Linked DNA regions of Ovis aries. The protein of the gene in region 1 interacts with the protein of each later gene in a pairwise test. Links are inferred from orthologs where the notes say so. Each region holds a gene or a part of one and is shown on either strand. Other genes may lie near its edges. The genes, in order: EFS, OSTF1, TSSK1B, ABI2, NCK2, SORBS2 and SH2D3C.

Evidence for each region.
Region 2: the proteins of EFS (region 1) and OSTF1 interact in binary tests that used the Homo sapiens proteins (3 or more experiments, as listed by UniProt). The two-hybrid records come from large-scale screens. The link is inferred for Ovis aries from reciprocal best matches to the Homo sapiens genes EFS and OSTF1.
Region 3: the proteins of EFS (region 1) and TSSK1B interact in binary tests that used the Homo sapiens proteins (3 or more experiments, as listed by UniProt). The two-hybrid records come from large-scale screens. The link is inferred for Ovis aries from reciprocal best matches to the Homo sapiens genes EFS and TSSK1B.
Region 4: the proteins of EFS (region 1) and ABI2 interact in binary tests that used the Homo sapiens proteins (3 or more experiments, as listed by UniProt). The link is inferred for Ovis aries from reciprocal best matches to the Homo sapiens genes EFS and ABI2.
Region 5: the proteins of EFS (region 1) and NCK2 interact in a two-hybrid assay, tested with the Homo sapiens proteins (2 studies listed by BioGRID and IntAct). The two-hybrid records come from large-scale screens. The link is inferred for Ovis aries from reciprocal best matches to the Homo sapiens genes EFS and NCK2.
Region 6: the proteins of EFS (region 1) and SORBS2 interact in binary tests that used the Homo sapiens proteins (3 or more experiments, as listed by UniProt). The two-hybrid records come from large-scale screens. The link is inferred for Ovis aries from reciprocal best matches to the Homo sapiens genes EFS and SORBS2.
Region 7: the proteins of EFS (region 1) and SH2D3C interact in a two-hybrid assay, tested with the Homo sapiens proteins (2 studies listed by BioGRID and IntAct). The two-hybrid records come from large-scale screens. The link is inferred for Ovis aries from reciprocal best matches to the Homo sapiens genes EFS and SH2D3C.

Annotation. Positions count from the first base shown.
Region 1 is NC_056060.1:21,376,015-21,379,528, forward strand, and holds part of EFS (embryonal Fyn-associated substrate), read left to right. Parts: coding exon 1-173; intron 174-427; coding exon 428-568; intron 569-685; coding exon 686-1,408; intron 1,409-1,773; coding exon 1,774-1,863; intron 1,864-3,097; coding exon 3,098-3,514. UniProt on the Homo sapiens protein: Docking protein which plays a central coordinating role for tyrosine-kinase-based signaling related to cell adhesion. May serve as an activator of SRC and a downstream effector. Interacts with the SH3 domain of FYN and with CRK, SRC, and YES.
Region 2 is NC_056055.1:61,718,051-61,722,350, forward strand, and holds the start of OSTF1 (osteoclast-stimulating factor 1), read right to left. Parts: upstream 2,809-4,300; 5' UTR 2,622-2,808; coding exon 2,588-2,621; intron 1-2,587.
Region 3 is NC_056070.1:72,619,533-72,623,764, forward strand, and holds TSSK1B (testis-specific serine/threonine-protein kinase 1), read left to right. Parts: upstream 1-1,431; 5' UTR 1,432-3,073; coding exon 3,074-4,177; 3' UTR 4,178-4,210; downstream 4,211-4,232. Other genes in the region: DGCR2 (integral membrane protein DGCR2/IDD), read right to left, coding at 685-763. UniProt on the Homo sapiens protein: Testis-specific serine/threonine-protein kinase required during spermatid development. Phosphorylates 'Ser-288' of TSKS. Involved in the late stages of spermatogenesis, during the reconstruction of the cytoplasm.
Region 4 is NC_056055.1:205,385,165-205,388,678, reverse strand, and holds part of ABI2 (abl interactor 2), read right to left. Parts: intron 555-3,514; coding exon 378-554; intron 1-377. UniProt on the Homo sapiens protein: Regulator of actin cytoskeleton dynamics underlying cell motility and adhesion. Functions as a component of the WAVE complex, which activates actin nucleating machinery Arp2/3 to drive lamellipodia formation.
Region 5 is NC_056056.1:60,725,246-60,729,302, forward strand, and holds the start of NCK2 (cytoplasmic protein NCK2), read left to right. Parts: upstream 1-1,255; 5' UTR 1,256-1,376; intron 1,377-1,505; exon of another isoform or gene 1,506-1,724; intron 1,725-1,854; exon of another isoform or gene 1,855-2,062; intron 2,063-4,057. UniProt on the Homo sapiens protein: Adapter protein which associates with tyrosine-phosphorylated growth factor receptors or their cellular substrates. Maintains low levels of EIF2S1 phosphorylation by promoting its dephosphorylation by PP1.
Region 6 is NC_056079.1:15,069,820-15,073,333, forward strand, and holds part of SORBS2 (sorbin and SH3 domain-containing protein 2), read right to left. Parts: intron 1,535-3,514; coding exon 1,508-1,534; intron 1,275-1,507; coding exon of another isoform or gene 1,206-1,274; coding exon 1,150-1,205; intron 420-1,149; coding exon 1-419. UniProt on the Homo sapiens protein: Adapter protein that plays a role in the assembling of signaling complexes, being a link between ABL kinases and actin cytoskeleton. Can form complex with ABL1 and CBL, thus promoting ubiquitination and degradation of ABL1.
Region 7 is NC_056056.1:8,439,458-8,443,558, reverse strand, and holds the start of SH2D3C (SH2 domain-containing protein 3C), read right to left. Parts: upstream 2,802-4,101; 5' UTR 2,667-2,801; coding exon 2,630-2,666; intron 230-2,629; coding exon 1-229. UniProt on the Homo sapiens protein: Acts as an adapter protein that mediates cell signaling pathways involved in cellular functions such as cell adhesion and migration, tissue organization, and the regulation of the immune response.

The DNA.
Region 1 (3,514 bases):
GGCTGGATGGCTGGTGCCTCTGCTCCCTGCATGGCCAGCAGGGCATCGTGCCTGCCAACAGAGTGAAGCTCCTTCCCGCTGGCCCAGCACCCAAGCCTGGCCTCTCCCAGGTGCCCCCAACCCAGCCAGGCTCACCACATCCGGCCCCGGAGCATGGCAGTGAGGACCAGGAGGTAAGCACTGGAGCCCCCCAACCCTGATTCTGGACAACCTATTCCTCTCTGCTGCTTCAGGAGGGACAGAAAGAGCCCTGAGACCCCCAGCCCTGCACTGACCCTGCTGTTCAAATCCTGTCTGCCAAGTCTTTCTGGGCTCTTTCTCCACTGGCACAGGGAGGGGGTTGGAAGGTGTCTAAGCTCCTCCCAGGCGCACACTATGATTCCCTGCTCCCCACTCTACCTGACCCTCCTGCCTGTCGATCCCCCAGTTGTACGTGGTGCCACCCCCAGCTCGACTCTGTCCTACCTCGAGACCTCCAACTGGACCCTGCCCACCCTCCCCTGACCCCATCTACAAGGTCCCCAGAGGCGGTGGGACCCAACTGGCTGCCCCTGGAGCTGCCTTGGAGGTGAGGGCTAGGGGTTCATGTGTCTGTTGGACAGGGGACAGATGGCTCTCGGAGATGGCTTAGGGGAGTGGGGGGCCCACTGCCGAGCCTGAAAGTAACTAACTTCTCCCTCTGCAGGTCTACGACGTACCCCCCACTGCCCTCCGAGTTCCCTCCAATGGCCCCTATGACTCCCCGGCCTCCTTTGCCCGCCCTCTGGCTCAGGTTGCCCCCCAGTCCCTTGGAGAGGATGAAGCTCCCTATGACGTGCCTCTGGCCCCAAAGTCACCATCAGACCTGGAGTTAGATCTGGAGTGGGAGGGGGGCCGGGAACCAGGGCCCCCCCTCTATGCTGCCCCCTCCAACCTGAAACGAGCATCAGCCCTGCTCAATCTGTACGAAGCACCAGAGGAACTGCTGGCAGATGGGGAAGGCGGGGGCGCTGACGAGGGCATCTATGACGTCCCCCTGCTGGGGCCGGAGACACCCCCTTCTCCAGAGCCCCTGGGAGCTTCGGCCTCCAGTGACATGGACACCCTGGCCCTCCTTCTGGCCAGAAGCCCCCCAGCCCCACACAGACCCCGGCTGCCCTCAGCCGAGAGTCTGTCCCGTCGCCCCCTGCCTGCCTTGCCTGTGCCGGAGGCCCCCAGCCCTTCCCCGGCTCCTTCTCCTGCTCCAGGCCGGAAGGGCAGCATCCAGGACAGGCCCCTGCCCCCACCCCCACCGCGCCTGCCTGGCTACGGGGGCCCCAAGGTGGAGGGGGATCCGGAGGGCAGGGAGGTGGAGGACCACCCGGCAGGACACCACAACGAGTACGAGGGCATCCCAGTGGCTGAGGAGTACGACTACGTCCACCTGAAGGTGAGCTTGCCTCAGTCAGCACCCACAGAATGCCTCCAGGAGAATGGGGGTCAAGACCTGAGGTCCCAGAGGCAGACCCTGGCTTCCTCCATTCCCTTCTTCCCCTCCGCTGACCCTGCACCCTGTAGCCTGTGACCCCTGTACTGGGCCACATCATTTGTATCAGTGCCGCAACCCAACCTGGGGTCCCCAAGCTCTCTGACCTGCCACTAGGGCTCTCCCAGACCCAGAGTCAGGAGGCTGTGGATCCGATGGGAGGAGAGACCTTCAGGAGGAAGTGGGAGTGGGGAGGAGTGGGAAGACCACGGGGGCTGCCTTGCCCTGCTCCCCTACCCCTGCACTGAGGCCCTTATCCCCTACCGCAGGGCATGGATAAAGTTCAGGAAGCCAGGCCTCCAGATAAGGCCTCCCCAGGGGATCCTGAACAGCTGGAGAGGGGGCCGCCAGAGCAGCAGGTAACCCGGTGCGGTTGGTGCTAGAGAAGGGGGCAGGGGAGGAGGAGCAGGAACCTGGAAGAAGGGGTATTCTTAACTGAGGCATCGAGGGAAGTCTATTTAGGAGAGGGTAAGAGTTCAATGAAACAGGACAGTTGGGGTGGAGAGGAGTTAGAATCCAGAAAGGAGCTGGAACTTCGAAAAGGATATCAGGAATTCAGAAAGAGAGGAAAGAATGTGTTGGAGAGGAGTCAGAAAACCGAGCATTCGGGGGGGGACAGAGTTTCTGGGCCGGGTGACTTCTGAGGCTCCTTCCAACTGTGAATTCCTGGGTTCCTAAGAGACCTGGGTCTTAATTCCAGCTCCACCACTAAGAAGCCAGGGCCTCCGAAGCCACCAGTTAATCTCTCTGGGTCTCAAGGAAATGAGACTGTCTCCTCGACTCATGGTCTAGAATGGTCCTAATCGCCATAGCTACCATCTGTCACGTTTGTACCAAGCGCCAGAACCTGTGCTAAGTACATTGCACCTGTCAGCACTGATCATAGCAATAGTTAGCACTCATACGGTGCTTACAGTTTGCAGTGCTGTGTTCTCAGCTCTTTTTGTGAAGATCAGCTAATCTTCACTGCAGCCTTAGGAGGCAGAAACAAGAACTGCAGGATCCAGTGTGGTAACCACACGCCACATGCAGCTACTCATCCCCAAGTGTGACCAGTCCGAACTGAAATGCACTGTAAATATAAAATGCACACCAGATTTTGCAGACTTAGTATGGAAAGCAATTTCAATAATTTTTACATTAATTACAGTGTTGAAACTACACCATTTTTAATATATGGAATTACAAAATAGGTACCAATTTCTTTGTAACTTTTCTAACGTGGCTACTTGGAAATTTGAAATAGCATATGTGGTTGGCATTATGTTTACATTGGACAGTGCAGTACTAGGCTCCCCGTAGATAAAGAAGATAAAGGAAGATAAAGAAGATAAAGGAGATAAAGGAATGATGACGTTCAGAGACTTGTTTCTGAGGTTGTTTGAATCCAGATTTATCAAACATCAATTCTGGGCATCTTCCTGTCACTCGCTAAGAGAATCTAAGTTGTCTGATAGGAGAAGGTACAGTTTAAAGGGGTCGAGCTCAGGGAGAAAGGAAGGCATGAGGAACAAAGGGAGGGAAGGAGAAAGGAAATAAGAACGGAAGTGGCACTGGCCAAGCAGTCCTGCTGAACCCTCTTCTCGCCCTTAGGAGGCCCTGTCCCCTGGGGAGCCACTGGTTCTGCCCACTGGAGATCTACAGCTCCTGCACTTCTACGCTGGGCAGTGCCGGGGCCACTACTCAACACTGCAGGCGGCCGTGGCGGCCCTGATGTCCAGCACCCAGGCAAAGCAGCCCCCGCGCCTCTTTGTGCCCCACGGCAAGCGGGTGCTGGTGGCCGCCCACCGCCTGGTGTTCGTTGGGGATACCCTGGGCCGCCTGGCAGCCTCTGCCCCTCTGCGAGCACAGGTTGGGGCCGCGGGCACAGCACTGGGCCAGGCATTGCGGGCCACCGTGCTGGCCATCAAGGGGGCCGCCCTGGGCTACCCATCCAGCCCTGCAGCCCAAGAGATGGCGCAGTGTGTGGCAGACCTGGCAGGGAGGGCCCTGCAATTCACCACTCTGCTC
Region 2 (4,300 bases), on another chromosome or scaffold:
ACTTGTGTTTCTTGTAGAGATGTCCAGTTCACGGCAATACTTAAAGAGAACCCACCCATGAGAAGTTCATTTCAGATCTCACTACCACTGTAATAACTCTTCTCAGAGCAAGTAATACATTTTAATTTTATGAACACTGAGAATCTTAGTAATTGATCTGTTCTCTCTCTCTGCTTGAAGCAAAGAGCCAAATCTACAGGCCTTCTTTAGAAACTTTGCAAGTTCTTACAACATGCATGTCTGTAAGATAACTTTCTCTCCAGTTTCCTCTTGTTATTCTTCCCTCCTTCTATAGGACCCCACTTCCTGCATCTTTTTTTTTTTAATCAAGTCTCATTCAGGATGAGGCAGGGGTGCAAACAAACCAAGAAGCTAAGAATTAAATACACCCTGCCTTCCAATTCCAAGTTTGCTTTTGACATTTTCACCCATCTATCTTGCCTACAGGACAAGAAAGTCTGACTGAGGACCAGAGACACTCTCCTTCCCACTTCCTGCCTACCAGGAAGTACACATGATGACAGGAGTTAATGGTAGGCTTTGATGTAAAGCACAGTAACATCACAGTTAAGAGCTCAGACTCTGGGGCCAAACTGCCTGGGTTCTAATTCTGCCCACTCCTCTCCACTCAGTGGCTAATCTTGGGCACCTTAACTTGACCTTTCTTGACTTAGCTTCATTTCCGCATCTGTGAAATGGGAACAATGCAGGTACTGACCTCATAGGGTTATTGTGAGAGGTAAATGAGATAATACACGGAACGTGCTTAGATCAGTGCCTGGCACACTGTAAACGAGAGCCAGGACTATAATAGTCCCCTTCTGTTTTCAACTAAGCCAGGCCACACAAAGTTTCAAGTTGGATTAAAAGTAATATTTCTCACTGTAAATAGGTCACTGACAGATTATTTCTAGGGTGATCTTATTTTAGTTTGGATCTCATTTACAAATCAATGTGGAGTCTGAATAGTAGTCATTTTTTAACCATTTGCTTTCTGATTTACTGAATAGAAGGAGAAAGCAGGAAGGTCAGACAACAAAAATGGTTCCTGAGAGTGTATTTCCAACTGGTCACAGTGTGATCCCTACACCCAGGCAAATACACAAAAACATATCACATCCGTGCCCCTCCAGCTGTAGCACAGACATCACCGAATGTCTAGAGATGAAAAACCTCATGAATGGCTTCTCAGGACCTTCTCTGAAATAAAGTACTCTGTTCAGTTATCAAAGAATAACTCTGTTGTGTTGATTACTTGAGGTCCTGATTTATACTTAAGTTTTAAAAGCTGCCATTTTCCACAAAGGCACTTAGAAGGCAAATTCCTCATCAGACTCCATTTCTAAAGAAACACAGAGCCCAATCCTAGCCATGTCCCACCTTCGCAAACACCAGAGCCAAAGTCCCAGCAAAGTCACACCCCAGTCCACCAAAATTCAGGTTCTGGGTGACTGACTATGTCACATATGCGAGTGTGTACAGAATTTTCAAATAAAATGACTTGGAACTACCACTGCATGATGGTGAAGAAAGAGAACTGGATGAAAGTTGAACAGCTTGACTAAAGTTTAGAAAAATCAAGAAAAAAATCAATCACTGAAACGACTCTCTCAATCAAGGTTACTTTGAAACTGGATGTAAATAGATTTCAGATTTCAGATTTCAGCCTGTAACATACTGAAGTTACCTAAGACCAGGAAGAAAAAAGCTGAGAGTATGTCAGAGCCATTTCTCGTCCATTTTCTACGTTTTCTGTAATCACCTACCCAATGAAGGTATGAGTTTCTTACAGTATCGAACTGAAATGCCTCAGTCCCTTTTAAATTCTTTCTCCCTGTCCCAGAAAATATTCTAGGGATCGAAGAAGAAATGAACAAGGAACATTCGCCAAAAGACCTGCTTTGAGGAAATCTCACCCTTTCCAGTTTAACTCGACAAACTCACAGAGGGAGTAAAGCAAAGGACTTGTTCAGCACTATAAAGTGACATTTCCGAATAGAAATAACTGAGATTACGCTGCCGCAGCCTAGATTTTTCTAGTCAGGAGCTCAACTACAGTTTCCTAAACGCTTTTCCCAAGATCTTAAGGTCAATTTGCTGCTCCTCTCTAAAGTCCCAAAGGAGACTCGCTCACCCACCCCACCCTATAAGCAGCGCACTTCCCGTTCGCTTTGGCCGGTCAAGAACTCAAACTTGACAGTGACACACAGTGAAGGAAAAAAAAAAAAAGAGGAAGTGGATGAAGAAAAAACCATTTCAAGACTTTTTTCTCCCCCCTAAGGGAGATCAATGGCCCTGTTTTCCAGGAAAACGTCAATGGGACGTAGCCATCACATCGATGGGAAAGCTGCAGCGAATGGCAACGCTGAAAAACCGAGGGTGACTCCTCTTTAAAAATGAAAATTTTCAAATTCCTCGAAAATCTTGCGATCTGTCTCCTGGAGCGAACGCAACAAATCCCACCCTGGTGCGTGGATCGCGAAAGTGAGGCTCGGGGCCGGGTACGTGCCTGACCTGCCCTGCCAAGGGGGCAGAGGGAGCGCGGGGCACCGCTACCGGCCCGGGATCCCCCGAGCACCTCCCTTACCTGGTTTGACTGGTTTGGGTGGCGGCTTCGACATCTCTCTTCCTGGAGCGGCTGATTCTGAAGACCACGCACGGAAAGTCAACCAAACGTGCCTCCAGCCGACACTCTGAGCGCCTCAGTTTCTTTTTGTCTGCTTTGCAGCGGTGCGCCTCCAGGGACCGGTGTCTACTCTCGGCAGCCGGACAAACCGAGGCAGGCAAGGCGGCTCAGCGAAGTGCCCCGCCCCGCCCCGCCCCGTGGCCGACCGAGCTGTCCGGGGCGCGCGGCCCCGCAGACGAGGAAGTGGCCGCCGCCTAGCCGAGTGCTAATTGGCTCCCCTGCTGCCCGCTCCGCCGCGGCAGGAGCGCGGGCGGCGCGCACGGCGGCGCGCCGGGAGGCAGAACCAGACGGAGCCGGACCGGGAAGCCGCAGGCTCGCGCCGGGGCCGCCCTGGCCGCGCGCACCCTGGTCGGGAAAGGGCCGGACAGGGCAGGATCGCGCGCGCAGGCGCGAGGCCACGCACGCCAGAGGCCCGCCCCGCCCAACGCCGGCCAGAGCCTGCTGCCGCGTCCGCTCCAGGTGGTACGGAACCTAGGTTGGCCTTCTCTACCCTGGGCAGCCTCTGACCCGGAAGGGGAGCGGGGAAAGAGGCTGTGCGCCTCTTGGTTAACGAGCTTCAGGGGTTGCGGCGGGTTAGTGACAGGCGCGCGCGTAGCGATCGCCTGTGCCGCTTTGCTCGGGAGCAGTCGAACGAACTAGCGCCCGGTGAGTAGTACCTGCCTGACTCCGCGCTCCCCGCCACGCAGACTCGCTGGGGCCTGGAGGTGTTTCCAGAGTGTTCCTGCGCTGGAGCCTGAGCCTGGCCGTGTCTTGCAAGCTCTGTCAGGATATCTACCACCCTAAATAAACTGATAAGTGGCCTGCCCAGGAGAAAGTGTTGTCCTAATGGGGTACTACTCTCACGCCCCCTAATAATCCTTAAAATGGGAATCGGTCTTCTGGAGACCATACAGGTTTTGGGGAGAAGTCACTGGGGTAGGGGTGAGGTCTTGATCCCTATCGGAGGAGGCAATCTTCCTCCTTTAGAGTTGAGAGTGACTGACGGAGGCCCTCGTTGTTGCCTGTTACTGTATAGCCTAAGAATGATTTTCATGTTTTTTTTTTTTTAGGATGGATTAAAAGAAATCAAAAGAAGTAGAGTTTGTGGTACGTGGGAATTATATGAAATTCAAATTTCAATGTCCGTAAAGTTTATTAGAACACAGCCACGCTCATTTGCTTCTGTATTGCCTGTGGCCACTTTCACTTCCTAACAGCAGAGTTGAGCAGCTGCCCACGAAACCCAAAACATTTACGGTCTAGAACTTAGCAGAGCAAGTTTGCCCACCCCAGACCTAGCAGGTTGAATCTCCACTGGGAGGCAGGGGCTAGAACAGACAAGAAACGCAGCGGGTGAAAATTTAGAATAGTATAGGCAATATGATAAATCACTTGTATAGAGGGGGGGAGATAAAAATTGAGAAGAAAACCCTTTGCATGAGAGTCTAGGTAAAATGAAGCTTCGAAGTCTACTAGGAATTAAGTGAAACAGTGATTACAAGACAAAGGGGCAAGGGTTGTGTATTCGGACAGGCAAGCCTTGGTGTTTACCAAAAGGGAGCAAAGTTTAAAAAAAAAAAAAATAGTAGAAAAAGACTTCCCTGTCACATAGAAAGTAATCAAAATGTTGAAGAA
Region 3 (4,232 bases), on another chromosome or scaffold:
CAGCACCCTCCTGCACAGGTGCCGGCTCCAGTTTCTCCCAAGACCACCCCGCAGCCAGTCACCCCGCCGCCCCAGAAGCATCACTGGCCCCTCCAACTCCAACTGAGTGAGGGGTGCCCTGGCTGCCGAGGGAACCCGGGGGAGGAGGTGGGGCGCTCGGCGGCAGATGGCGAGGGGCAGCGAGGTGCAGCGCGCCCGGGCCGGGAGCCCGCTTGGGGCCTGCACCCAGCCGTGCTCCCCGACCTGCTGGGGACAAGCAGTCCCGACAGCACCCACGAAATGGGCCCCTTCCTCCACTAAACAGGGTCAAGAACCTCACTCTGCAACCGCGTCGATACAAAAACGAACGCATTTATGCGTGCGCGTTACAGCATCGGGCTCCTTCCCGCTGAGTTTAGAACCCCTGCAACCCACCGGGGCACGGCGGGCCCCGGCCTTCTGCGCCGGACGGGAGCCCTGCGTTCGGGCTCTTGATTTCTCGCGGACAGAGGTGGGGGGGGGGTGCACATCGGAAACAAGAGGTAAGGCTCGAGCGGGACCTTCTGCGGCCCGGACCCCAGCTCCCGACCCGGGCTCTCCTCGGAGGACGCCCGCCTCGGCGGCGCCTCACGCGTCCGAGGGACCCGGGCGGCCAGGGCTTCCAGGCGCCCGGGCCGAGCCCGCCGGCCGCCCCCCGGCGCGCACCTGGCCGCAGCGGCTCGGTGACCGTGAGCACCAGCAGGAAGAGCAGCAGGAACGCGCCGCTGTCCGCCTTGGGCACCATTTATCCTCCGTTCATCGTCCCCGGGGCGGCCGCGCAGGCCGGGCCGAGGGCTCGGGCCGGGCCGGGGCCGGGCCAGGCGAGGGCGCCGCGGGGAGAGGGCTCCGGGGGGCCGCGGGCGGGCGCGCGCTTTCGGCCGCCGCCTCGGGCTCCGACTCCGGCTCCGCGCAAGATGGCGGCCGTCCTGCTCGGCCCGCACCGCCCCGCCCCCGCCCGCGCCGCCGCCAGCCAATCAGCGCCGGGCGGAGGCGGGGCATGCGCATTCCGCCTGCGCAGTGACTGAGAGGGGCGCGGCCCAAGGGCGGGGCGGGGGCGGGCCCGCCGGGGCGGGACTACGGGGAGCCGCGGGCCCCATTGGCTGACCAGAGAAGGGCGGGGATCGGGGGCGGGGCCTCCTGGGGGCCTGCCGGAGCAGGAGCTGCGGAGGGGCGGGAGCGGCGCGGGGGCGCGGCTCCGAGGGAGCCCCCGGGCGGGGGCGGAGTTGGGAATCCCTGAGAAGGGCCCTTGCAAGAGTGCGTCCCAAAGTGGCGCTTTAAAGGCCGAACCGCTGCGGTGAGGGGAGAGGAGACCTGGAGAACCTCCGAGGTGGCCCCGGGAGGCGCTTCCGCAGGTGCCGCTTCACCGGCGCGTGCAACTGGAGTGCTGCATACCGACGAGCAAGCAGGCTCGAGGAGGGTCCCGCGCGGAGAGCCGACTGGGACGCCCGGTCCCCTGGAGGGGGGCCCCCTGCACAGTGGGGACCGAGCGGGGCCGGGGGGAGACGCTGGCTCAGCTGCCGCCACAGCAGGCTCTTCCGCACGGAGGGAAGCGTTGGCCGCGCACCTGTCACCGCGGGAGGGGACCCAGCAGATGGAGTACCAGCGAGGGAGGAGCAAGCCCTCCGAAGGACAGACCACCGGCCACCACGCGCAGCAGGCCCGGCCTGGGCGTCAGGGTGGTTAGAGGGTGAAGATGGGAGCGGAGAAAAGAGGGAGGGGAGAGGCGGGGATGGGCGGTGCACCCAGACCGTCAGCAGCTGGCTCCCCAGGAGCAGTCACCCCAAGCCCCTCAGGGCATGATCCTCCTGAGCACCCCAGGATCCCAGCCTGGGACATTCAGGGTCATCTGAGAGAGGCACCGGACTGACCCCAAGGCTCTGCCAGGCCTGCCTGCTCCTGCCCTCCCGCACCATCCCGCCCTCCCCTACAGCAAGGCCCAGAGCAGAGAGGACCCACTCCTGGCAGGAAGCGTGGTTCCCATTCAACACTGCCCTGTTTGCCTGTCCTCAGAGGGCATTTCCGGGAGCAGCTGCTGCTCTCAGAGGAGTCCAGACCCACCTTCTCCCCCACCCCCAGACCTGCCCTTGGAGCCCAGCCAGGGCTACGACAGGGCAGGCCCCCGGGAGGGGCCTCACAGCCAAGGGCAGAGACCCGGTCAGCTGTCCCCAGCAGAGCTGGCCAGAGAAGGTTCAGAGGAGAGCAGCACGGGGCAGTGAAAAGTCCAACCAGACCACGCAGCAGGAAGGCGGAGGGGACCCTTCCTGCCCCAGCCCCCTTCTCAGTCCACCTGCCTGTGTGGACACCGCGGAGGATTTCCAGGGCCACAGGGAGCAGGAGGAGGTCAGGGAGGTTTTCTCCAGCCCCTTTCCTGGGGCAGATGACCTAGGTCACCGCCTTGGTCAAGGTGGCCCTCCGGGCACCACTGTCCCCGGGTTCCAGAAACGACCGTCCCTTCATCCAAGGGCCCATCACCCACTCGGGGTTCTGGACACGGCTCCATGTGGGGGTGGGGAGATCATCCTCTTGTTAAACCCTCGCAGGCAGTCCTCACTTGAGCGTCTCCCGTTTGCTGCTGAGACCTAGATGGTTGGGACGGTTGCCCGGACTTCCAGGGATGCCCTGGGGTGCAGGAAGTCAGCCCATCGCCCCCCTGCCCCCAGCAGCCCCCCTGCCCCAGCAGCCCCCCTGCCCCCAGCAGTCCTGGCTCTGGTGTGGAGGCTTGGGCGAGCCGACACAAGCCGACGCAGTCCCCGCGGCCCCTCCTACCTCGGCCCCCGCGCTCCGCGGGCGTCCGTCTGCTGCAGGGTTCCAAGGTCGAGCGGCTCAGGCTGGAGACCCATTCCGCAGGGCACTTCTTCTTTATGACTTCACCCACTGAAGTCACCCGGGAAACAGTGCCGAACGTTCCACCCCAGAGTCTTGGCCTCTAGGAGGCAGGGACGGGAGGCCCGGGCATCCCAGAGGACTCTGCCCACAGTGTAGATGAGGACGCGCTGGCTCATGTCCCGCAGGGATGTAGAGGGCAGCCTCAGGGGCACTGGGCGCTCCCGGCACCATGGATGACGCTGCCGTCCTCAAGCGACGAGGCTACATCATGGGGATCAATTTGGGAGAGGGCTCCTATGCCAAGGTCAAGTCCGCCTACTCCGAGCGCCTCAAGTTCAACGTGGCGGTCAAGATCATCGACCGCAGGAGAGCCCCCACCGACTTCCTGGAGAAGTTCCTGCCCCGGGAGATCGAGATCCTGGCCATGCTCAACCACCGCTCCATCATCAAGACCTACGAGATCTTCGAGACGTCCGACGGCAAGGTCTACATCGTGATGGAGCTCGGCGTGCAGGGCGACCTCCTCGAGTTCATCAAGACCCGCGGGGCCCTGCAGGAGGACGATGCGCGCAAGAAGTTCCACCAGCTGTCCTCGGCCGTCAAGTACTGCCACGACCTGGACGTCGTCCACCGCGACCTCAAGTGCGAGAACCTCCTCCTCGACAAGGACTTCAACATCAAGCTGTCCGACTTCGGATTCTCCAAGCGCTGCCTGCGGGACGACAGTGGCCGGCTGACGCTGAGCAAGACCTTCTGCGGGTCGGCGGCGTACGCGGCCCCCGAGGTGCTGCAGGGCATCCCCTACCAGCCCAAGGTGTACGACATCTGGAGCCTGGGCGTGATCCTCTACATCATGGTCTGCGGCTCCATGCCGTACGACGACTCCAACATCAAGAAGATGCTGCGCGTCCAGAAGGAGCACCGCGTCAACTTCCCGCGCTCCAAGCACCTGACGGGCGAGTGCAAGGACCTCATCTACCGCATGCTGCAGCCGGACGTCACCCGGCGCCTGCACATCGACGAGGTCCTCAGCCACTGCTGGGTGCAGCCCAAGGCCCGGGGCCTGTCCTCCGCAGCCGTCAACAAGGAGGGCGAGGGCTCCCGGGCCGCCGAGCCCCCGTGGACCCCCGAACCCAGCTCCGACAAGAAGTCCGCCACCAAGCTGGAGCCCCGGGAAGAGGCACGGCCGGAGCCCCGGACTGAGCCCAGCCCCGAGGAGGAGACTGCGACGGTGCAGGTGTCCCAGCAGTCAGAGGCCGTGGGTCTGCCCAGCGAGCAACCCAGCAAGACCGAGGAGGGGGCGCCCCCGCAGCCTTCAGAGACACATGCCTAGCCCACCTGTTGCGGCCCAGGCGGCCGGCAGGGAATGAGGCCGAGCTCAGGGCCCC
Region 4 (3,514 bases), on another chromosome or scaffold:
AATGCCAGAAATTTGCTGATATTTTTGAGATAAAGCAAATACTTTACTAACATACTGAATAGTATTTAATTAGTCACATTAAATCATTAAAGGATTTAAAATATAATACTACATTTATTTCCAGATGTACATGAGGTATATTCATAACTGGTTAAGCAAATGCAATTCACTCAAAGACGACTGTTTAAAACTTGAGAACCCAGCATTAAAAAGAAAGATAACACAGTTATTAGTGGTAAGAAATCTTCAGAACTACAACTAGGCCAAGAATGATCCTCTGGAAAGAAAAGATAAGCATTTAATTTTCTAAAGAGTTAATTCCATCATGGGCTTTTTTTTTTTTTTTTTTTTTAATGTTTGACAGAACTTATGCTTACCTTTACTCCATGTCCAATATCATCTAGAATTGTATAGTCGATAGGTTTTCTAATATATCGAACTGGTCGTTCAAGGTTGGCTGGAGCAATAATCTTATGTGTCCTTGAAGTGTTTTTATTGGTAGTCAAAATACCAATTTCTCTTCTTGCAACTTTCTCTTTATGAATATCAACGGTCTACAAAACATAAACACAAAAATGTATAGCCCTGATAGCCAGAAAATAAAAACATAAATACGTAGATTTAACATCATTATTCATATTCTTAACTGCAATTACGAATTTCTCCTTTTGGGACCAATACTGACTTTCCCCATTTTCAGGCTAAAAGAGTTGGGAAATCCTGGCAGACAAAACAGATCTGGCCCATCACCCATCTTTTTACAGCCGAAAAACCAAGAGTGGTGTTTACATTTTTCAATGGTTAAAAGAAGTCAAAAGAAAAATAAGATCTTGACGTGATTATATGGAATTCAAGTATCAGTTTCCATAAACAATTTTACTGCAATACCAGTCATTCGACCTGCTTAAATACTTTCACAAAACAATGGCAGAGGTAAACGCTGCAACAGAGACCTTATGACCTGCAAAGCATAAAACATTCATTAGTTGACCCTTTACAGGAAAAGCTTACCAACCTCCAGGTTAAAGCATGCTAATTTTCTCCTTCTCTATTAAGATTTAGCCTAATTAAGAAAGTACCAGCAATTAATCTGGTAACATTTAAAGATAACCTATTAGTATAACTTCTTTTAGTGTTTAAATAGCTTTTTATTTAAAAAGGCCTAAAATATAAATACAATGTTAATATAAGTCATCTTTTACAAAGAAACAAGTGTGCTGAGGTAAAGTTGCTTATATTTTATCATGACAAAATGCTAGTAAAATATTTTCATTATTTTATTAAATGCTCAAAACAGGCTATAATTTAGTACATAACAATGTGTTTTTACTCTATTTTCCATTTGCTAATAGAGGGTGAATTTCTCCATAAGCACAGGCAATTAATACACTAAAACAGCATGTTTCAAACTGCAAGTTGCAATTTAGTGAGATAATGAGCAGCAATTACTTTAAATCAAAAAGAACAGAACTATCAGACAACATACACACTGTAAGGTACTTTTTTCTTAAAATATTTGTTATGTACATAAATACATACATTAAAGTGTGTACGGATGGAATATAAGATATATGTTTAACTGTGGGTTTCAATTTTAAAAGTTTCAAACATACTTCACTAAACTGTTCACATCTCTTGCCACCATTCATGGCTTAAGCAGGAATTATTGCTGATTCTTCCCCAAACCTACTTCAATTTACCCTTTCTTAAAGAATAGCCAGGTAGTAACACAGAAATGAAAATAAAAGACAATATTATGACATTATTATGTCATATTAGGACATTATGACAATATTAAATACAACTTTAGGAAATCTGAACACTGATTACTTATCCTTCTAAACTACATAAAGTCTAAAGGAAACCTGAAACAAATTTGAAGCCTCTTACCTTCAACCAAGAGATTTTAAAGGCAACAGACTCTTTGAGTGCATAACTAATAAATACCTAAGTGAAGCATCAGATCAAATATTGGCAAAGGTAGGAGAGACCTTAGCATTATAAGTATTTCATTTTAAGACCAAAATAGGCTTTGAACTTTTTCTGTGCACATTAGATAAGTTATAAAATCTGCTTTCCTTTTACATTGGTTGGGGGAGCTATAATAGAAGAAAGAAGTTTGTGTATAAGTGACAATATTGGGATTTAGTTATTTTTAAATTCAGAAAAAATAGAAATTAACCACATTTACTTTGAATAATTTCTAAAGAATAATTCTGAAATTATTAAAAATATGAGCTGGGAAAATTTTATATTTGTCAAGTATACTTCAAAATAAACTAAAAACACAAAATATGACCCTTATTTTTTGTATATAACTGGTCTCTATCATATCAATAAAGAAAATTTATTAGAGAATGTAATCTTTCAACATTGTTTTCATTCTGCTTAGTTTTTAAAAATATAATTATCTCACCCAGAAATGAAAATATAAGAATGTAAACCTAACCAATGATAACAGAATTCTAAGTTTGAGGCACACTGGAACTTCAATTTCAAATTTTCCTGCTAGAAATATCAATATGTCTCCGGAGAATGAAGAGGGGGGTAACATTTCACTTATTATTTGCACTAATATATAGTTATATTTTGTAACAAACATGTATTTTACATTCTTTGAAAAAACTGAGGCTCTAAAAAGAATGAAAACAATTAGATTATACCTAGGGACTGTAGGCACTCACATATTACTTATCTATTCTCTTTATGTACACATAAACACACAGCCCAAAGCTATATAAACCATTACAAGCAGCATAAAAGGAAAACCAATGTGGCAAAAGAAATGATCAAAGAACTTTCATAAATAATCCTAAATAATGGATAGCTGCTATAATGGGGCATAAAATTAGGCTCTTAGTTTAGATTCCTAGAGAAGGCAAAACAGAAATGAGTTACAAGGAAATGCATACCCCTTCATTAGGAAAGTGACCATTTGCCCAGCACTGAACTCTTAAAGGAACTAGTTGAAGGAAATGTGAGAAAAATGTTCTTTGTTGTTTCTTATGTTAATTCTCATTAAACTTGAAGGCATATTTTAAAACATAATTCTTAACAGCGTATTTCTACATTTAGAAAGCCAAAATAGTTTGGTTACACATTTCTAGTTGTCTACTCTAAAAGACTGCCTACATCTTAGGAAACTACAGCAGGGTTTAGAAAATACCTCAGATATCTAATATCTACTGGTCTTTATCCATTCTACCAGACAACCCGTAACAACAACTCTTGACACCAACCATTCCTATATACATGTCATCTCATCTTTGACCTGACTAAACTTCTATTTCTTCGCTTCAATTCCTTTTCTCTAGATTCCCCCAACATAGTATTTTGGACTCAAATGTGGAAAAAAAATGTGACCTCAAAATATCTTAATAACTTTGACTCCCTCCATAAACAAAATAATGTTTTAATAAAGCACAATGATTATAAAATTTAAATCCACACACTTGAAAAACATTAATTTGTAGAGCGAGAACTTATAAACTAAATCCTACATCACAAGACTAGC
Region 5 (4,057 bases), on another chromosome or scaffold:
CTGGGAGCTCCCTAAGGCTGTAGGTTTGAAAGTTAACCCCCGAAAATCAGACCGGAAATATACAAAAAAATGATTGAGCCTCTCTAAAAAAGAAAGGTACATATTAATGAAAACAAATGGGCCAATATTGTTTTGGGTATATAACTGTTGGAGGTTAGAACATGCCAGATAAGGACAAACATGGATAAGTTAGAAAGGTAGTGATGTTAGATAAATGAACAGATAGATGACTGCATTTTAGGAAACAGCAGAAATGCAATGTGCACAGAAAACTGCACCAGATAAAGACTGAGAAAGAGATGTTGGGTTTCAGACAGAGAATGTCCTTGGTGAGTTTACAAAGACCCAGAGAAGGAAGAGGAGTTCAACTCTCCATTCAGTGAAGGTTACAAAGCAGAGGAGTAGCAAAAAACTGGGTCAATATTGTTATACCTATTTTGAGTAAACTAATTTAGAACTGGGCCAGACCATTTACTATAAACTCTGCTTTCCTTCTTAGGAAGACAAAGTTTTCACAAAACAACAGACTGAGGAAGCTTCTTTCTCAAGGATGTAGAACAGGTGGCTGTCTCTGACACCCTGACCTTGGACTGATGGTGGCTCAGTGCCCTGATCCCCTCCAGCCACTGACCACTGAGTGCTTCCTACTGCCTGGAAGTATGCCAGGGACTTCCAGAGGAGCTGGGCAAATATTATCTCCATGTTGGATAGATTTTAGATAGGGTAAGAAACTCTTGTTCCACAGTTGAAGAACCAGACAGTCAAACACTCAACTGGGACTTCAAAGATATACTGGCTCCAGGACCCTCCTTGGGTACTTGTGTTGGGAAAGAGGCATTCATTCAGTGACATCATCTTGTCACCTGGGGTAAACTACGATTGCTTTAATATAATGAGAGGCCAGGAGCCTAAGGAAGACCCTCATTAACATGGATCCGGCCTATTCCACCAGGATATCAGAATCATTTGAATAGTAGGATTTCCTTTGGGGAAGCCACGTGGGGGGAGATTGATGACAGACATCTGGATACATGTGCCTGTTTAAGGAACCCTGTGTCTTGCCCCTCCTCTTGGGTTTCAGTCTTCCAAGTGTGTTTACAGGTAAGCATGTGGCCAGGCGGCCCGACGGTCCCACCACCAGTGACAACTCCTGGGACCTACATTCCTGCAGTTCCACCCAGGATTTCGCCCTGTGGGCGGGTTTGAGCTGGACACAGAGGGAGGAACAGACATTGTGGTTTCCTCTTCTGCTTTTAAGAACTGCTTCCGACGATAACGAGGGAGTCAAAAAGTGTCTGGTTGGGAAAGTAAATAGATACGAGGCAAATAAATAAAAATGCCCAGAAGCAACTACACGGAGGAAGTGACATTTTTCTGTAAGTCACTTTTCTGATGGACCGCAGGCCTGCTCCGCCGAGGGTGCCGTGGGAAGGCTTCCGGGAGAGGGGGCGGTGGCCAAGCCCCAGCGCGTCCTGATAAGAAAATCAAACAAAAAGGGGATGGACAGACCACCCGTCGGTCCTTCGAGGCCGGGCTGCTGCTGCTCTCGCCTCTCCCGTCTTCCTATTCGCTCCCGGACGCGCAGGGTCGGAGCTGGGCCTCCCCTCCCCTCGGCGCCCGGCCCGGCCCGGCCCCGCGCAGGGTCCTCCGGGCCGGGCGGCGCCCGCGTTTGAGCCTCGAGCCAGCCCCGGCGCCGCCCGAGCCGGGCCGCCGTGCGCGCCCAGGTGGGTCCCGGGCGGCGGGCGCGCGGGCCTGGGCGGCCCCGGCGGCGTCACTGGGCGGAGCGGAGGAGGACGAGGAGGAGGAGGAAGGGCGCGCGGCGGGCGCAGCCGGGAGGGGCGGGGGCGCCGCGGCGGGAGCGAGGCCGGAGCCGAGCGGGCCGGCGGGCGCTGGGCTCGGCGGCGGGGGTCGGCCGGGCCCGCGGGGTCCGCCCGGGCCGGAGCGTCGGCCGAGCGGCGGGAGGAGCGAGCGGCGCAGACAAAGAGCGGCGCCTGGGCGGGCGCAGGGCGGCCGCCGCCCGGGACCCGCGCCGCTGCCCCGGCCTCGGCGCGCGGCGCGCGAGGTAAGCGGGGGCCGGGGGCTGGGGCCCGAGGGTCGGGGCTCAGGGGCTGGGGCCCGGGCGGAGGCCGTCAACTTGGGCGGCTCGCGGAGTTGCGGGGCAGCCGGGGCGGGGCGCGCCGGGGCCGGAGCCGGGGCTGGGGGCCCGGTCGCTTGCGCGGCCTGGCCTCGCGGCTGCGGGCACCTCCGGCTCGCCCCCTCCCCGGGTCGGGCGGGCGGGGCAGGCCTGCGCGGTGGTCCCGGAGCGGGGACCGGGGAGGCCGGGCGCGCCGCCGGCGAGGACCGCGTGGATCGCCGGCCCCGCGCAGGCAGGACCGGGAGGCGAGCGCGGCCCGCACAACTTCTGGGATCGGGACTGTTGGCGACCCCGCGCGGAGCTGCTGTCACTTGGCGTCCGGGAGGTTTCCCGCGGCCCCTAGGCGCTTCGTGCCGGGCTCCGCGTCCGACCGGGGATCGCCGGCCCCGGAAACAAAGTTTCTCACGATCGCGCTGCCCTGGTAGCTTATTCTGGGCGATCGAACCACCCAGCGGTTCTGGAAGAATTCGGTGTGTGATTGTAGGCGTAGACGGTAACTCCCTCGTGAGCGCATTCGGCGTGGAGCGAGTGGGGGGCGTGATTGCAAAGCGCTTTCGTGTGTGGACCGTGGCGGTCGCCCTGAAAGGGCTGCGCGTGTGCCGGGGCTCTGGGCTCACTGGCAGCTCGTCCGCGTGGGGACAAAGCTGGAGCCGGCGCGGGGCGACCTCTGGCACTCAGGCTAGGTCGGGTCCCCTGTGTTTGCCTTTGTTTATTTTGCCAACAGGTTTGGGGCTGAGCCTGGCAAGTTTGGGTATGCGCAGGGGATGAGCAGGCCTCAGCGCTGGGCCCGCGCAGGCCCACTCCTGCCCTTGACCCCAAAGAAAGTGAACCCCGAGAGGCTACGGGGTGTGGCCTGGGGTGGGAACCCCGAGGTAGCAGAGTCCCGCCTGGTCCCTGCCCGGCTTCCTCCTCGGCTTCGCCAAAGGGATTTAGTAGGAATGAGAGTAATTTGAGGCGTGTTTTGTCCCTCTGCATCAGGTATCGTTGGCAACAGGGCTTTTCAAGGCTAAAAGAGACTGAAAATGAAATCACTCTGGTGCTTTGAGTTATCACAGCGGACCTAAACTTTATTTCCAAACACTACCCGTAATTCACTTACCGGGTGTCCCCAGATATTAATAAACGGGTAAATTAATAACAGGAATCGAGCCTGGGCCAAGGGTTTAGTAAATAGGAGGGCAGTGGTGCACAGGAGATGAAGTGGGTTCAACTGCGAGACTGAGCTGTCCATGTAGGTTTTTAGGTGGTCGGAACAGGGGTTTCCCCAGATGTGAGTGTTAACCATGATTCTGAAGCAGTGACCGGGAGGGAAAATCCTACATTGATGTTTCTCCTCTCCAGGTTGATTAGATGTAGTGTTAATTGAGGGAGAATGCAAATGGCAACCCACTCCAATACTCTTGCCTGGAGAATCCCAGGGACAGAGGAGCCTGGTGGCCTGCCGTCTCTGGGGTTGCACAGAGTCAGACACGACTGAAGCAACTTAGCAGCAGCAGCAGCAGCAGCAGCATTGACTGAACAAAGTTGCCAGATTTTAGCGGTCCTCTGGCTGCAGCTAGCTGAGGCTGAAATTGGAAACTTAAAGCGGTGGTAAGCTGGTGGTACCAAAGAGGCCTCATCTGGGCTTCAAGCTTCTCAGCTGCTCCCTAGACACGCTGCGGGATTGCTCCTGGAACATGGGATGAAGTCGGGTGGTGAATTGCGTCCAGAGAACAGACTGACCCAGTACCTTCTCTCCCCACTTAATGTGGGGCCTGATTAAGGTGATTTCAAGTAGCTGTGCTCACTTGTCAGACTTTGAGGTTTTCTTTATCACATGCCTTGCACTTCAGGTCTCTTCATCCCTCCTCTCTTGGAAGCTGTGATGTTTCCCAGCCTCTGTTGTTTGCATCAAGCGATGACTGAGATTTTCCAGCAAATGCA
Region 6 (3,514 bases), on another chromosome or scaffold:
TCAACAGATTTGGGAAACTGCGGAGGACTAAAGGTAATGATGCTTCCTGGATCCTGGTTATGGATTAGTTTCAGTGTGGAAATTCTCCGAGTTTGAGAATCTTGGGTGTAGTCCTCTTGGAGAAATGGGGTACTCATATCAGCTTTTGGTGGGGGACCTGTGCTGGAAGGTGGTGGTAGTGGATTAGTGATTTTTTGTGTATATGACACGGTTGTGTTAGATTCTTCAGAATATACAATTGTCTGGCTAGAATCATCATTAGAATACATAGTTCCCTGGAGCGGTGTTTTGTTAGTAAAGAACTCTGTACGAGATGGAATTTGTGTGTTAGTTACTGATTGGTCTAAAATGTCACCCTTTGTATGATTGGTTATCAAGGAGCTACAAAAGCTCTCTTTTCTGGGTGGTGGAAGGGGTGCCTGGGTTACCAAAAGCATCCAGAGAAAGAAATAATGTTGAAGGAAAAACAGAGAGAAAGTCAAAGTTAATCATTAAAGAAACCAGTGTTAACTCTACCCTTAAAGAAAGTAAAGCAATGTCATACCTTCTTATTATGCTATACATTTTGTTGGCCAGGTTGAATGATCACGTTTATTTCATTTAGAATGCATTTTAATTTATTGTCAATAGTTGCCTTCTGGGGGAAAATAGTTTTATGGAGAATATACTATCAAGTTTGTCTCCATCTACTTTCTGGGAAATTAGGTTAAAAGTGAAAATATTTTCTCTTGGTATATTTTCAGACCTTGAGATACATATACAGTATTTACTCACATTGTTTTGGTAACACGTTTCATGCCTGTGACAGTTTTACTAATAACTCATATTTATTCAGTAAATATATTGCTGGCCTCATAACTTTGAAATCCAAATCATCAACTAGCTGTTTTTCTAAGAATTAGAAAATATCCTGAAAATTATATGCTATATCAGAAACTGATGTGCTTTTATCAGCTGAATCAGAAAAAAAGAAAAATCAATAACCTGTTTTGAACTTAAGACTTGTCTTCCATGTTTTAAATACAAGTCAATACAAATATAAAAGCAACATATTAAGAATAAAACATATCAAAACATGCGTGTTACTAGAAAAGAGACCCTAGAGCGGTGGTTTAAATTAACACAGTAGACAGCAGTGTGCAGGATTACCTGAGTTGGTGATTTTTTTTCTTGTAGATTTGGTCGAACGCTTCTAAAACCTTTTGCTGCAAGAGAGGAACATGTAGCATCTCCATTCAGTGTCTCTTGATTTCGATCATTGTAACATCTCCAAGCTTTTATTAAGAGAAAACAAATCGGATACAAAAATATCTACATTCACTTTTAACATATTTTTAAAATAAAATTTATTTTCATTTCCAAAATTGAAATTTTCTTTTTAGACGTTAAAATGTGTAACTGTGTATGCAATTTAAGTTTACTATAAGAGTAACAATGTGGCTATGAATATGTTTTTTTAAAAAACCCACAACAAATGTAGTAGTCATTCAGAATAGTGTTTTGGTACCTGAGTCTGGTGACTGAGAATCACGCCCTAAAAGAAAAAGAAATGTCAAAATTAGTTCTCTGGTAAAATGAACAATGCAGTAAAGATCATTTAGCAAAAAACCATGTACATTTTGGTTTTGGGGCAAACATTATCTCAGTTCTAAAACTCTGGGTATATAAAATATACTAATGGAAATTTGTGCATTTGTTTTTACTTCAATTAGATTAGAATTAATTAAATATGATATATAATTAAAACATATATCAAACACTTATCTTCCCCTCAGTATTACTGCAAGAATTCAATTTTATCTTATTACTGCTTAAGGTGAATATATGAGTTTTTAAATATCAGTTTGAAGGATCAAAAGTTTGGTAAACAATGAATGGTTCTCCTAACAGTGAATCAAACCACCAGATCCTTAGATTTCAATGCCATCAATTTTTTGTAGCTTTAATTCTTCTGTACTTTAAGAAAGTGTAAAATACACTGCCATATTATGTGATATTTTCAAATCACTCTTAGACTTTGAATTTTCTTCTTATTGCCATTTAAGAGTGATTTTATATTCAACAATGAAAAAGCTGTTTCAAGTATTCTACTGTCTTGCAGTAAGCATTTCAGTACTAATAAATTGCTTTTGATAATACAGCTGGAAAGCAGCCTGATGACATATTTACTCTCAGTTTTATTTGGAATTATACTTTCAAGAATCTCCTATAAATTATGCACAATTTTAGGTACTCAGTTGGTATTGCTTGGTTCTATGATAACCACGGGGCCAGCTTCACCTAGAATCATAACGCCTTAATTTTGGAAAGGATCTTAGAGATCATTCAGCCTAATCTTCTGTCCAGGTCCTGGACGTTAATGATTCAAATTTACTTTTAAGTGAGTGGTCCTTTAGGATTCCTTAGGTGTACAAATATTTCAGTTTCTTTAACATAAACCTAATTTTAGATATATAAAACGCTGAGTGCCAATTTGCTGCTTTACTAATATTATAGTTCTTCAGAGGAACTGAAAATCATACAGCATCCCACATGGACACTGTTCACCATAGCTCTGTTTTTATTTCACCCCTGCCAGGAAAGCTTAGGAAAGGGAGGGCAGGTGTGATTTGGAGTGGATAATAAGAAGCATCCTAGACACATGTCAAGTAAAGAGAATAGAGCTTTTTGGTTATTTTTTAAAGAATTGGCCAGGTAAATAACTTGGCAGATGCTTGGAGAAAATGGTTTTGTCTAATATTTTGAACACTTATGACCATTCACTTGTGAAAAAAAAAAAACCCAGCTAGAATTCTAGGGATCAGAGCCTTTAATTTTTAGTATTCTTTAGTGGGTGGTCATTGCTTCTTTGAAAATTTAAGAATGAGTAAATGGGATGGATTTAATGTTCCCTGGCTGTTCTGTGCGTGAAAATAGTCTTTGAGAACCAAGAACTTTAACTGCTCTTCCCTCTTACAACAAGCACGCCCTGTATGCTGCAGAAGGTAGCAAACACGTCAGAGAAGTTGTTAGGGCCTTCCTGGCTTGGTGTCGGGGACTGGACTTCATGTCCTTAAGCGGTCCTTTCCACCCTTATGATTCAAACATTATTATTTTTATGTAGCTGTGTTTGCAGTACCCCCTACCTCATAGTCTCTATTCTTGGGTTTTACTTAAATTTCTTTATGATATGCTATATTAGATACTTTTCTTTAAAGCTATGTTGATTTTAATTCTTATAGCCCCTTTCAAGTGGGTTCAAGTGGCTTGCAAGAATTAAATGTATTAATTAAATTCAAGTTAACTTACTGAATGGCTACTGTCTTTGTCAGTACTATGATAAACCTGTCCATTTATTTTCTTCATTTACCCTCATTTACTTCTGACAAATCCTTATGAGTTTGGGAAATGATTGTTTTTCTAACATTTTCTATGCTCACATCCACATGAACAAACAGGTACAAATATATAGATATAAAGATATTTTTTTTCAAACCAAAATGAGATCATTACTACATCCGTTGCAATGCAATTT
Region 7 (4,101 bases), on another chromosome or scaffold:
TGAGCCTTCTTGATGCTGGGGCGAGGCATGGTGCCCATGTGGCTGTACATGTCGCTGGAGCGGGCATAGGCTGCGGGGCTCTTGGGGACTGTCACCATGTCATCCTGTGTGGCATCAAAGGTGTCAGCCTCCACCTGGGGCCGGATACTGTTGGGGGCCAAAGATCGTTTCAGAGTAAAGGACCGAGGAAGGTTGGAGAGACTCCCAAACCCCTTGAACTTGAAGAACTCTAGAAGGGGGGAGGGGAGGGAAAGGAGTTAATGACATTGCCAGCAGTAATAATAAAAACAATGAAACATTTGTGCAGTTCCACTTACTGAGGGTTCAAGGAGGGTTGGGAGCTTCACTGACACCCCCTCTAGGAGTTACGGTATAATATGGCACCACTGGGATCCCATAGCCTTTGAATTCCACATCCTAGCTTTGTGACCTTAGACAAGTCACTTGACCTCTCTGAGTCCCATTCACCCACATCAGTAAGATAGAGATTATAGTATTCATCCCCCATGGCAGGGGCAGGGGCAACCTCTGGGCTGTGGACCAGTACATCCTGGCAGATCAGCAATGGTATTAGACTAGAAATAAAGTGCACAATTAAGTCTAATGCACCTGAATCATCCCCAAACCATCCCCCCCACCATCCCCAGATGGTGGAAACACTGTCTTCCACGAAATTGGTCCCTGGTGCCAAAAAGGTTGGGGACCACTGTCCTCTGACAGTGGAAGAACTGAAGAAAGGCATGAACTCAGCATGTAAATAACATGCTTCATAGCCGTCAGAAGTAATGAAGAAAGATGGTGATGACGATCACATAAAGGCCTTTGCATTTGTCAAACATGCCACCTTCATTAATTACTTCCCTGAATTCTCAGCACAACTCCATGACACAAGTTTAATCCCCCATTTTCCAGATGAAGAAACTGAGGTTCAGATCGGTGACATGAGAGCACATGTGTGTGTGTGTGCGTGTGTGCGTGTGTGTGTGTGTGTGTGTGTGTGTGCGTGTCAGGGTCGGGGGGGGTGGTGTGTGGAGTGGGTGTTTGAACGAGGCTCTGAGGTGCCCCTGAGGTGCGGATGAAATGAAAAGGGGGCTGTCGGGTCCCTGAGGGTCCCACTCCCTGCGGTTCTCTCCTTCCTGTCAGCTGAGCCCTAGTGGGGACTCAGGCGGCAGTGCTCGGGTGATACCATCTCCGCGTTTCCGCAGGGGTGCGCCTGAGCGCCCGCCCTCCTGCCTGCTCTCAGCTGTGGGACTGCCCCTCCTCCTAGCCACCACCTTCTGCCGGACTTCACCACGGCCCCTCCATAAGCAAAAACGAAAACACCCTGGCATTTCCCACTTCCTTGGCATCCTCCACCTCGTCAGATCCTCACGACCATGGTGGAACATAGGTGGGATGGCCCCATTTGACGGAGAGGAAACTGAGGCCCAGAGAGGGGCAGGAATTTGCCCAGGGTCAGAAAGCCAAGCAGAGCCTGGCCGAGGGCCTGGGGCTCTGGAGTGCTGGGGTCAGGGCTCTGGGGCTTTCCTCCCGGGCCTGCCCACCCCCACCCCACCCTCAGTTATAGCCTCTGCCTCCTGACAAGCGCTGTCAGCAGATGCTGAGGCTCTGCTCTTAGAAAGCTACGCCAACGAGCAAATCGCCTCCTTTCTCCAGACCTCTTGTTTTGTCTCCCGGGCACCGGGGGTCTGGAGGAAGCAGTAGTGGGCAGGGAGGGAAACTGAAGTCCAGGGTCCAGGGACGTGAGACTGAGCCCTGCTCCGTAACCCTATATGACTTCAGGCAAGTCTCTGGGTCTTTCGTCTGTGGAATACAGTCATAATCTTTGCCTTGTACACTCCCCTCATGTGCTGTCAGATCCAAAGCATCATAGGGGGCCCTCCCTGTGGTCCGGTGGCTAAGACTCTGTGCTCTCAATACAGGGGGCCTGGGATTCGATCCCTGGTCAACGAACTAAATCCCACATTCTGTAACTAAAAAGATCTTGCATGCCACAATGAAGATTGAAGATCCCGAGTGCGATAATTAAGACCCAACACAGCTAAATCCATATCTAAATCTTAAAAAAAAAAAAAAAAAAGAATCAGAGGGAGCCAAAGTTTGCTGGGACCAGGAAGGAATCAGCAACCTGGGGAAGAAAGTGAAGGGTGAGTGTGGCCCCTCATTTAGTTGCTCTGGGTCCCAGCATCACTGCTGGTGGGGTCATGGGGCATTACCCATGGCACACACCCCTCCCCCCACCCCAGCCCCAGCAACTCCCAACCTGAGACCCCCATGTGAACCAGTACAGAGGCAGGCAATGGAATGCGTGGAGGTCTTCCCTGGCCCAGCCTGGAGGTCAAAGGGAGCCAGGGGACACACAGACGAATGGAGAGACTGACAGTTGGGTGGGGAGAGACGGAGGAATAGCGACAGACAGAGACAGACAAGAGAGAAACAGAGATGGAGAGCCAAATCAGCTGGAGAGAGAGATTAGGCCAGAGGGATGGAGAGACAGCACCATGGAAACTCAGAATCAGAGTCCTCCAGAGAGAGCCAGAGATGGACAGAAAGAGAAACAGGAACAAGATAGAATGGGGAGAAGCGGATGCAGAGAGGCTGAGACGGACAAACGGCACCCCACACTCACTGAACTTCTTGCTGGGCTTCTTGGTCCCCTCCGTCATCTTGGCAAGTCGTGCAGAGCCCCTGACCGAAAGGCAAGTGGCCACTTGAAGCTCTGGACATCAATGCTGGGATGCCTCTCTCACCTCCCCTTCCCCTTTCTCGCGCCCTCTCACTAGCTTCCTCTGTGTATTTTTAAACCAGTGAAACTCTCACAGCCCCACCCTCCCCATCCTCTCCATAGGGGGCGGAGGCAGGGCGCCCCCCCTCAAGTCCCAGCCCCTGTGGGCCTCCTCCTTGGCTTCGGCAGCGGGGGGAGGCAGGGGGCAGACCACAAGCGCGTGAGATCTAGAAGGTCTGGGAAAGAAACCGCAGGCTCTGGGAACAGAGCCTACTGGGCTGGGGGCCTCCAGGGACCTGACAACCGCTGTCGGGGGGTCTGGCCAGCGGGCTGGGAGGGTGCAGGGAGTCAGGCCTGTGGGCAGAGGGGTTTATTCTAAGCCTCAGTGCTGCAGGATGTGCTGGCGGTGGTGGCGAGGGGAGTGCCATGGTTTGGCCCGCGAGCCCTGAGGCCAGCCAAATTCAAGTCTTAGCTGCCCCCCTCTGTCACCGTGTGATCCTGGACAAGTCCCTCCCTGAGCCTTAGTTTTGTCTCTGTGAGCGAGCGGTATTTGCAATGTCCACCTCACGGTGAAAAGCCTGGCACAGAATCAGTGCCCTCAAGGCATGGTCAGTCCTTTTCAAGCTGGCAGGGACATGGCGATAATTTAGTCCACCACCCCGCTGTACAAGGACAGGATAGGAAAACCGAGACACAGGCAGGCAGAAGGCCCCCAGGTCACACAGCAAGTCGATAGCACAGACTGAGCAACACCCTGCCCTTTCAGGCCCCTAACCCTCAGCCTGGTGTTTTTCTACCATGCATCCCCGTGTGTGTGTGTGTGTGTGTGTGTATGTGTGTGTGTGTGTGTGTGTACAGGACAGAGATGAGGAAATGAAACCTCCCCTACACAGGTTGTCCCTGACACCTGCGGAAGATTCCAGCAACTGCTGGGGGGCACCTGAAAGACCAGGGGCTTCAGATCCTGTCTCTGAGTGCAGAATTACTTCTGCCTCTGACTTGGACACCTAATTTCTAGAATAGGCACGAGCATAAGGTACACAGTCAACCCACGGGGGCTCTCTCATGATCGGACATTATCATCCTGGCCCCAGGGCTGGCCCACTGGGGTGTGAAAGGAGAAGTTCAAGGTCAGGTGGGGCCCCTTGTACATCCTCCATAAAAATAATGACTACTAATGACTAACGTTTTCTGATCACCTAGTACGGGCCAGCCAAAGGGCTCAGTTCTTCTGCCCTAAGGAGGCAAATACTGTTTTTCTTGTCCTCATTGTACAGATGTGGAAACTGAGGCCCTGCCCCGAAATCAAGTGACCTGGAATTGGGACCTGCCTGTCCAGCCATGGAGTCTGAGGTCCTAGCGTGCACACTTAGAGC